Linked DNA regions of Coturnix japonica. The protein of the gene in region 2 purifies or fractionates together with the protein of the main gene of each other region. This does not show direct contact. Links are inferred from orthologs where the notes say so. Each region holds a gene or a part of one and is shown on either strand. Other genes may lie near its edges.

Region 1 (4,240 bases), on a different chromosome or scaffold from region 2:
GTTCAAGGTCTGAGCTGTGTGCATTTTGCACTTGAATTCTGCATGTAAATCAAGTACAATTTCAGCATCTGTTAATACACTCTTTGGGAATTAATTAGAATTACTTGCATTATACAATATCTGTCTCTATCCAGTAGGCTTCAAGGGAAGACCAGCAGTTAATGCCAGCAGACCAGTTTCCTTGTCCTTCCCATCCTCCTGCCCTACAACAGCACCAGCTGACAGGCTGATAAACAGGCACCAACACCTCTCAGCATCGCTACCCAGATGGTAATAATTGATTTGAGATGATAATAATTCTTAAATAACTTGATCCTAAATTCAAGGAAATAAAAGACAACAACCTGAGCTACACAACCCTACCTTGATGCAGTTTGATTGGGCAAGAAAAATCAGACTCCAAAGGCTCTTCCTCATCTCCTGATGCCAATTTCAGTGCAAGTTCCAGCTCAACACATTCAAACACATACAGGGAAGGAACAAGATCGGATCTTGGGTCCCACGATTTTTCTGACTGTAAACAGCATTGAATTCTTCAATGAGACATCATTTAAATAGAAATACTAGTGTAAATAACACTGAGTTACATAATAGAGGTATGCATTCCCTTTGAGCCATCCTGAGATCTTGAAGGCAGGAACTTTCACAGAAGAAACAAAAACGTTCACAGAAATAACAAGACAAGGTACCTGCTCCTCATCCTCCTCTGCATCCAGCACCACGCAGTGATAAAGCACGCCCGATTCAGTGGCAATCACCAGGATATTTGGAATACAAGGCAGGCACAGGACAGCACAGGCATCGTAGCCATAATTGTCTTCTGCAGCAGGGTGCATGGGCAGAGGGCCAAGCAGCTTGCCAAGATTTCCAGCACTGGAATAGGGAGGATGCATTCACAACACAAAGCGTAGGAGCAGAGTTCCCATGGCTGCCTGCAGGAGTTTACTGATAACTAGAGAATGAGGGTGACTAAAAAACAGCCAACGAAAGCATCAAACACTGCGGTTTGGAGTTCTAACATGTTATTCTTGGATTTAAGTCTCCTAGCACTATCACAAAGAGATACATTATAATACAAACCAGCCCAGCATCCTTAACAGAATCCAAGCGAGGCAAAGAGATGGCTCTGGAAACCAAACATACAAAGACCCTATGAAACTTGAGGATGAACACAAACCCACCTCTGCAGCAGGTTGATATAGGTGAGGAATGTCTCTCCATTTTCATATAGAATGTAAAGTGGATAAGCCAGCACTTCTTCACTGCCTCGCTGCCCAAGGATGCTCACTGGGACTGGCACCAGCGGGCCGAAGTCAAACGCCACCGCGGTCTCTCCCAGCGACGCTGTGTAGGCTCTCCTAGGGATAAGCAGGAACAAAACTGAGTCAAATTACACCATCAGCCCTTTGATAAACACTATGTTTCAGCAACAAAAATGTTCAGGTAACATCCTCCCTCCAGGGCCTTGTTTCTGAAGTCAGCTGAGTTTCACAGGGTAAGGAGGAGGGCACGTAGGATTTACTGTGTAGTACAGTGACTCATCCAGTAGAAACCCTCAAGTTTCTCCTTTCCAATCAGGTGAAGGAGGAAATAAAGATAACATATTTCAATGCATTCCCTGCTCAAAAAAGCCCTAATGAAACCTTCTTAAAGATAGCGTGTGTTGTTCAAATAACTGTTCTGAAGAACACCGGGCTGTGCAGTCTGTTCCCTCTTTCCTTTAGGGAACATACAGCACTTGGTTCTGTGGCAGGAAGCAGCCCCAGCACAGAGGTGTGAGCAGTAAGTCGTGTTTAAATCCCTGCTGGGGGCTCTGTGACTGGTTAAGGATGTGACTGAGAACACAGAACTCTGAGATGCTCAGAGCGTTGCAAAAGGAGCCGCACAAACCCTTTGTTGATGATCAGAGTCTCCTCCTCAGCGTCTGACAGCGGGATCACCTTGATGGGGGTCTGGGGCACCTTCAGGCTGTAGATCCTGGATGGAAGCAGCAGCAATGATGGTCGGTCAGCACCAGCTGCTGCCAATCTGCAGTTTCCCTCATGATAATCACGACGCAGCGTTACCTGATGGTGTTATCCGAAGTCAGCAGCACGACGTGGGGCTCCATTGTCTCGCAGGGATACCAGGCCGCGTGTTTCAGGGTCAGCGACGTGGAACTGGTGAAGAACCGTTCTGCGACCGGGACGGTGCTGGAACAGAGCGGGGACGGCGGCTGTGACCGCACGGACGGCGGAGCTTCCAAAGGGACGGGGGGGATGTGGGGGCAGCAGGAGCGGATCTCAGCCCCCACCTGCAGTTCACCGTGTCCTTCCCACCCTCGAACTCGTTGTTTTTGCCCCAGCGCTCGGGCAGCTCCACGGCCGAGAGCCCCTTGGTGCCGATAAGCGCCACATGGCGCCGCGCGGGGCTGAGCAGCGTCTGATACACGTCGAACAGCGGCGGGTTGATGCACAGCAGCGTCTGCCGGGACACACAGCGGGGCTCAGAGCGGGGCTCGGAGCTCGGCCCGTCCCGCAGCCCCCGCTCCGCTCACCTGGTACCGGCCCAGCTCCGGTTCGGCCCCGCTCAGCCGCCGCAGTTGGACGTTGAGCAGCGCCCCGCGCTCCCCGTCCCACAGCAGCAGGTCTCCGTCCAGGCCCAGCAACAAACTGAGCGGGCAGCGCGGGGCGGGGCCGGGCTCGGCGTGACGGAGGCGGCCGAACACGGCGTGAAGCGGCAGCACCGAGCGCCACTGCTCCGCACCGCAACACGCCGCCATGGCTGCCCCGCCACCGCCACGGACCGGCAGCCAATCGGCGGCGGCGAGCGGAGTGACGTCACGGCGACGCCGCGCCAACCTGAGTGACGTCACAGTGACGCCACCCCGCCGCTCTTCCGCTGTGCTCTAGGACTACGTTTCCCGGCGCGCCCCGTGCCGCGGTCACGTGGTGTCGGCGATGGAGGCGCCGTGCAGACACCGCGCGTTGTACAAGGGAACGAACGTGCCGCCATGGAAGGAAACGTACCGGAGGGTGAGAGATGGAGACAGACAGACAGACACAGACACGGACAGACACAGACGGTGAGACCGACCGGCCCTGACATGGTGTCGTTCCCCGCAGCGCTGCCTGGAGCGGCTGAGGAGCAGCAGGGAGCGGCTGCTGACACGGTACCGACAGGCCGGGCCCGGCCCCGGGGCGCTGCTGGTACCGGAGGTGATGGAGGGAGAGTGGAGGAACATGAGAGGGAACGGGGAGCGGCAGCAGGTCGGTACGAGCGGCCGGAGGGATGTTGTATAGGGGGGGATGGGAATTAAAGGCCGAACCTCGGCCGGGCTGTGCTGGGTGCTGTGTGTTGTGTTGTGTGTTGTGATGTGTGTTGTGTGTTGTGTTGTGTGTTGTGTGCTGTGCTCTGGGTGCTGGGTGCCTTTACAGAGCACCTCTGTGTGTTAACAAGCAGCAGAACGAGCTGTGGTGCCTCTTGTCACACTGTCCCAACACAACACGGTGACTTTCAGATGCCGGAGGACCCGGACGAGCTGGCGGTGCTGGATGAGATCGAGCAGGAGCTGATCCTGCAAGGTAACTCAGTGCGTCCCCTGGTTGCTACATGATAGCAGGGAAAACAGCCTGATCTCTGCAGCCTCTGATGCACTGAGAGCATCCTGAGAGCTCCAGGAGTTTAAGTGGCATCTTAAGCTCTATATGGAGCTACACAAGGCAGCACTGCTTGAGAGTTGTAGGAGCCCACATCAATAAACTCAGAACACTGAATTGTTGGCTGGGAAGACTTACAGTCACCCCCCTGAGGCTGCATGAAGGCTGTAGGAAGAAGCGGGTTAATAGTGATGATTTTCTTAAGCACAGAAATCTGATTGGAAATAAGAATCTCAGCAATAAGGGGCTGCCCCAACCTGCATCCCCACAGCAGCTCCATGTGTATCAGCATTGAAGTCGTTAACAGGTGTCTGTTTTGTTGCTGTTCTGTTTTGGTTTTTGTTGGTCTTTTTTTGCCCCCCCGCCCCCAGAACAATTGGTTATAGAAGAGTACGAGCGAAGTCTGCGGTTTGATGAAGAATGCCTCAATGCAATCCTCGATGGCTTGGATGCCAGCAACAGAATCATCTGCCCAGTGTGCAGAAAGTAAGAATGAGATCCTCCACACTGCAGCAGTTTGGGTTTAGAACTGGGCAAAACAGCAAACAAAGAGAGTGGATTTCAAGCAGCTGGAAGAGCAGAGCTCTCGTTGTCAGGGCTCT
Region 2 (3,500 bases):
ATAATATTGGTTTTGTCTGTTCATTCAAGGATTTACTAACAGCTTATCCTGATCTGGAAAGAAAACATATTTTCTATTCATCCCACAAACTCATGACACACTTCTAAACACACTCACCACTGACATTATATCAGACTACTGCTCTACACACTGGTAGATGCGCCCTATTGCAAGCACTAGCGAAGGCTACCATCAAAAAAAGGGTGATCCCACTCACCCTATTACTGTAGAGACAGCTGGAGTCAAAGCACCTGTCTTGAGTTCTCGTACATTCACCACCTGGGGAACATTCTTCAGAGTTGATTCAGTCAAGGAGGTGCTCACAGCTTTAAGAAAATAAATAAATAAATAAATAAATGTGGTAAATACCTTCCCCATATTAAATACTGCAATCAATATGGTGTCTCCGAGTAACTCCAAAAGAAATCCATGTAAGTTTCTATTTGCCCAGTCAAGGGTGACTTGAGCAATCAGCCATCCTTTTACCTGGGGACTGGGTGGCCATCTGCCTTCGCAGAGCTGCTGCAGCAGCTGCCTGTGGTGCTGGAACAGTGACAGTGGGAGCAGGGGCCCCATGTTTCACAGTCTTTGTTGCAAGCATTGTGCTGTCTGCCCCTTGTGGGATGATTCTGTTTGAAGACGTAGGCACTAAACAGGAAACAAAAAAAATATTACAGTTCACTGTATCCATTAAAATCAGGAAAACTTGAAATCCTTTGCAAACTACAGTTCCTGTGATTTCACAGCTTCCATCTGATAAGACAGCTGACACTTTTCTAGCACAGACAGTTTGAGTACCTCAATGAATTCAGCATGTACATTGCAGTAGTTGTTATTTCAGTGCACCAGATGACTTTCAGTTTGTTGCTGTAGTCACTTCTACTGACAGCTTACTTTTCATTTTGGGGTTCGAGTTCTCTGACTGCAGACAAGGAAATCTGAGTATATGCACATTTAGTTCTTACTGTTTTGGGGCTCAGAAGTCCTAACCTTGTGCACACTCATCAAATGCAGAAGTACTTCAGCCTTCTGTTTTGAGGGGCAGCATTTTAAAAAAATAAGACAAATTACTAAAGGAAGACAGTGCCATCTATGGTCAGTATGATCTATAAGTAACAAGCAGTCAAAATGCAGTGAGTCAAGGTCCTTTAGTGCATTTAGGTACTTCAGTGTATTCCCAAGCTTACAGTGCCACTCTGCTAACTGCTTCTGGGAATTTGGCAGTGTAAATCTCCCTGCTGCAAACTCATTTCTCCAGGATTTGAAGCAGCAGCAATTTATACAGTGGTAAAAGACACTGACAGGAATACATGCAGAATAGCAGAAACACTGCAAAATAACTCACATAGAGTACCACCCAAGGAGGGGTGTTGTTTCCCAAAGGATGGAGGCTGAGGCACCAAACCAGGCTGGATAGATGGAGTGCGGACCACAGGGGCATGACGAGGGACTTGAACAGGAGCAGCCTCCTCTTCCTGGTCTGCTGCCTGCAGATCCTCATTCTCCAGGGACTGGGAAACTGAGGATGTTGAACTTACTTCATCCAAATCTTCATAGTATCTTGTGGACAAGAAGGCAGATCGGGACAAATTTGCTACAACAACAGAAATAAAAGACACGTGTACACTAAGGTGAGAGAGTCATCCATCCTAACAGCTAAGACATACATCCTATTTTAGGATGCTCTTCTAACTGGCTTGCTTTAATCCTACATTGCTAGGATACGACTTCCTAACTGCCAGCAAAGGCAACTTTTGGTAAGATTGTAACTGAAGTAAATTCTTACTCAGGGCAGATGAGGGAGCAGCAAGGGTGAAGTAAGGGCAGAGGCTACGAGAAGCTGCTCTAAGCTAATTTCAGGATTGGTTCCCACAGGAGGTAACTCACCCTCTTACAAAGCATTCTGGACTTTTAACATAGCTAAAGGTTTACCTGGAGCCGTAGACCTAACTGGTGGAGTCTTCCTCTTGGATAGAAAATTCCTCAACTGTGTCAGTTTCACAGGGGGCAATTTAGCTGGAAAACAGAAGAGAGTTATTAAGTCTATACCAACATTAACAACGTTAACATTTACATGTGAACACCAGGAAGGAAGAATACATTACCAGGTACTTTAGGTGGGGGTTTGACGCGTGATTCCAAGGTAGTTTTCATCAAGGCATTGCGCAGGCTTTCAAGGTCACTGTCAAAACTGTGACACAGCAAAACAATTAAACAGGATCAGCAGAAAGAAATCAAACAAATTAAGAACAAAAACAGGCCAAAATGAATCACTAGAAGTACTAACTTATCAGGAAGAACAGCTGGCTCCTCTAGATACCATGCTATTTATATGTACGTATCTTGATTTACTTTGGAAATTCTTAAGTTATTCACTTCTTCCCCTGAATTCAGACAAACAGCAGTACCTCTGTCCAGAGGTTCAATGGTTCAATTATCCTGATTATGCTATTATAAAAAAATAAAACTTTCAAGGGGGAATTTGTGATGAGTGTTAACGTATCACACAAATACAAGCGAGCTTCTGCATTACCTGGGCATAGTTTTGTATCATTTCTAGGATGTACTGTTCTCACACATCACATCCACAATCATTTCTCGGTGGACACACATCTGAATACTGCTCAGGGCAAGAAAGCAGTGGCAACACCACTCAGGAACTTGCATTTCACATACCTTTGAGCATTGCTAAGAGGGGATGTATCACTGGGAACACTCCACTGAGATGTCTGATTATACAGTCGGAGCTGCTGTAGGCTGTTCACCAAATGATGTAGTCTCTTCTTCTGCTGAATGATTATTTCCCGGTTATTAGCAAGGGTGTTAAACAAAGTCTCTCGTTCAGGAACAACCAGACGCCTTGAGACATAAGACCAAGAAACACAGATCAAAATGGTTCTACAGATCTGGCTACAAGCAGGCATGAACATACAAAGTGGTTTGGTAGATCCTGCCAGTTCTACCCCATGAAGTCAAACAAAGATTGTTTTAAACACAAAAGGCAGAATCACAGAATTATCAAGGTTGGAAGAGACCTAGATCATCCAGTCCAACCATCACCAATACTTCCCAGTTAAATCATATCCCTAATATTCTGCTTGTCTCAAATGCATGTTTCTCCTTTGGGTATGCTATAAATGTGTTTAGCTCATTTACTAGAAGATTGGGAGGTTTCATTGGCTTCCACCAATGGATGCATTTAGTCCCTACACACCTTATTTTACAGGTTTTTCTATCACAAGCACTCCTTTACCAGGCAAGGAGATGTAGCAAAATGTAACAAACTTCCACAGCCCAGTAATCTGAACCTACAGCTCTCTTCTTACCTGTCTTTGTTAAACTTTATTCATAAACCCCACAAAAAAAAAAGGTTGTACTGTTAAACAGAAAAAGGGTTTTGTCTATTGATGAGAGGCAGTGACTGATTCGTTGATAAGATCCTCACAGTCTTGTATTCCAGTTTCAGTTACTTACTTCTGCTTTCTCTCCTTTTCCAGGTG

What was found.
Region 1: the proteins of NUP214 (region 2) and NUP88 purify together in Homo sapiens (affinity purification with mass spectrometry; 6 studies listed by BioGRID and IntAct, counting the BioPlex papers as one, with this or other methods). This does not show direct contact. The link is inferred for Coturnix japonica from reciprocal best matches to the Homo sapiens genes NUP214 and NUP88.

The regions. Positions count from the first base shown.
Region 1 is NC_029534.1:2,458,936-2,463,175, reverse strand, and holds the start of NUP88 (nuclear pore complex protein Nup88), read right to left. Parts: upstream 2,801-4,240; 5' UTR 2,762-2,800; coding exon 2,537-2,761; intron 2,464-2,536; coding exon 2,294-2,463; intron 2,193-2,293; coding exon 2,067-2,192; intron 1,978-2,066; coding exon 1,891-1,977; intron 1,359-1,890; coding exon 1,182-1,358; intron 874-1,181; coding exon 690-873; intron 515-689; coding exon 364-514; intron 1-363. Other genes in the region: RPAIN (RPA-interacting protein), read left to right, coding at 2,940-3,014, 3,105-3,248, 3,500-3,563, 4,010-4,124. UniProt on the Homo sapiens protein: Component of nuclear pore complex.
Region 2 is NC_029532.1:4,691,161-4,694,660, reverse strand, and holds part of NUP214 (nuclear pore complex protein Nup214), read right to left. Parts: coding exon 3,475-3,500; intron 2,860-3,474; coding exon 2,677-2,859; intron 2,192-2,676; coding exon 2,106-2,191; intron 2,017-2,105; coding exon 1,933-2,016; intron 1,595-1,932; coding exon 1,346-1,594; intron 649-1,345; coding exon 487-648; intron 327-486; coding exon 218-326; intron 1-217. UniProt on the Homo sapiens protein: Part of the nuclear pore complex. Has a critical role in nucleocytoplasmic transport.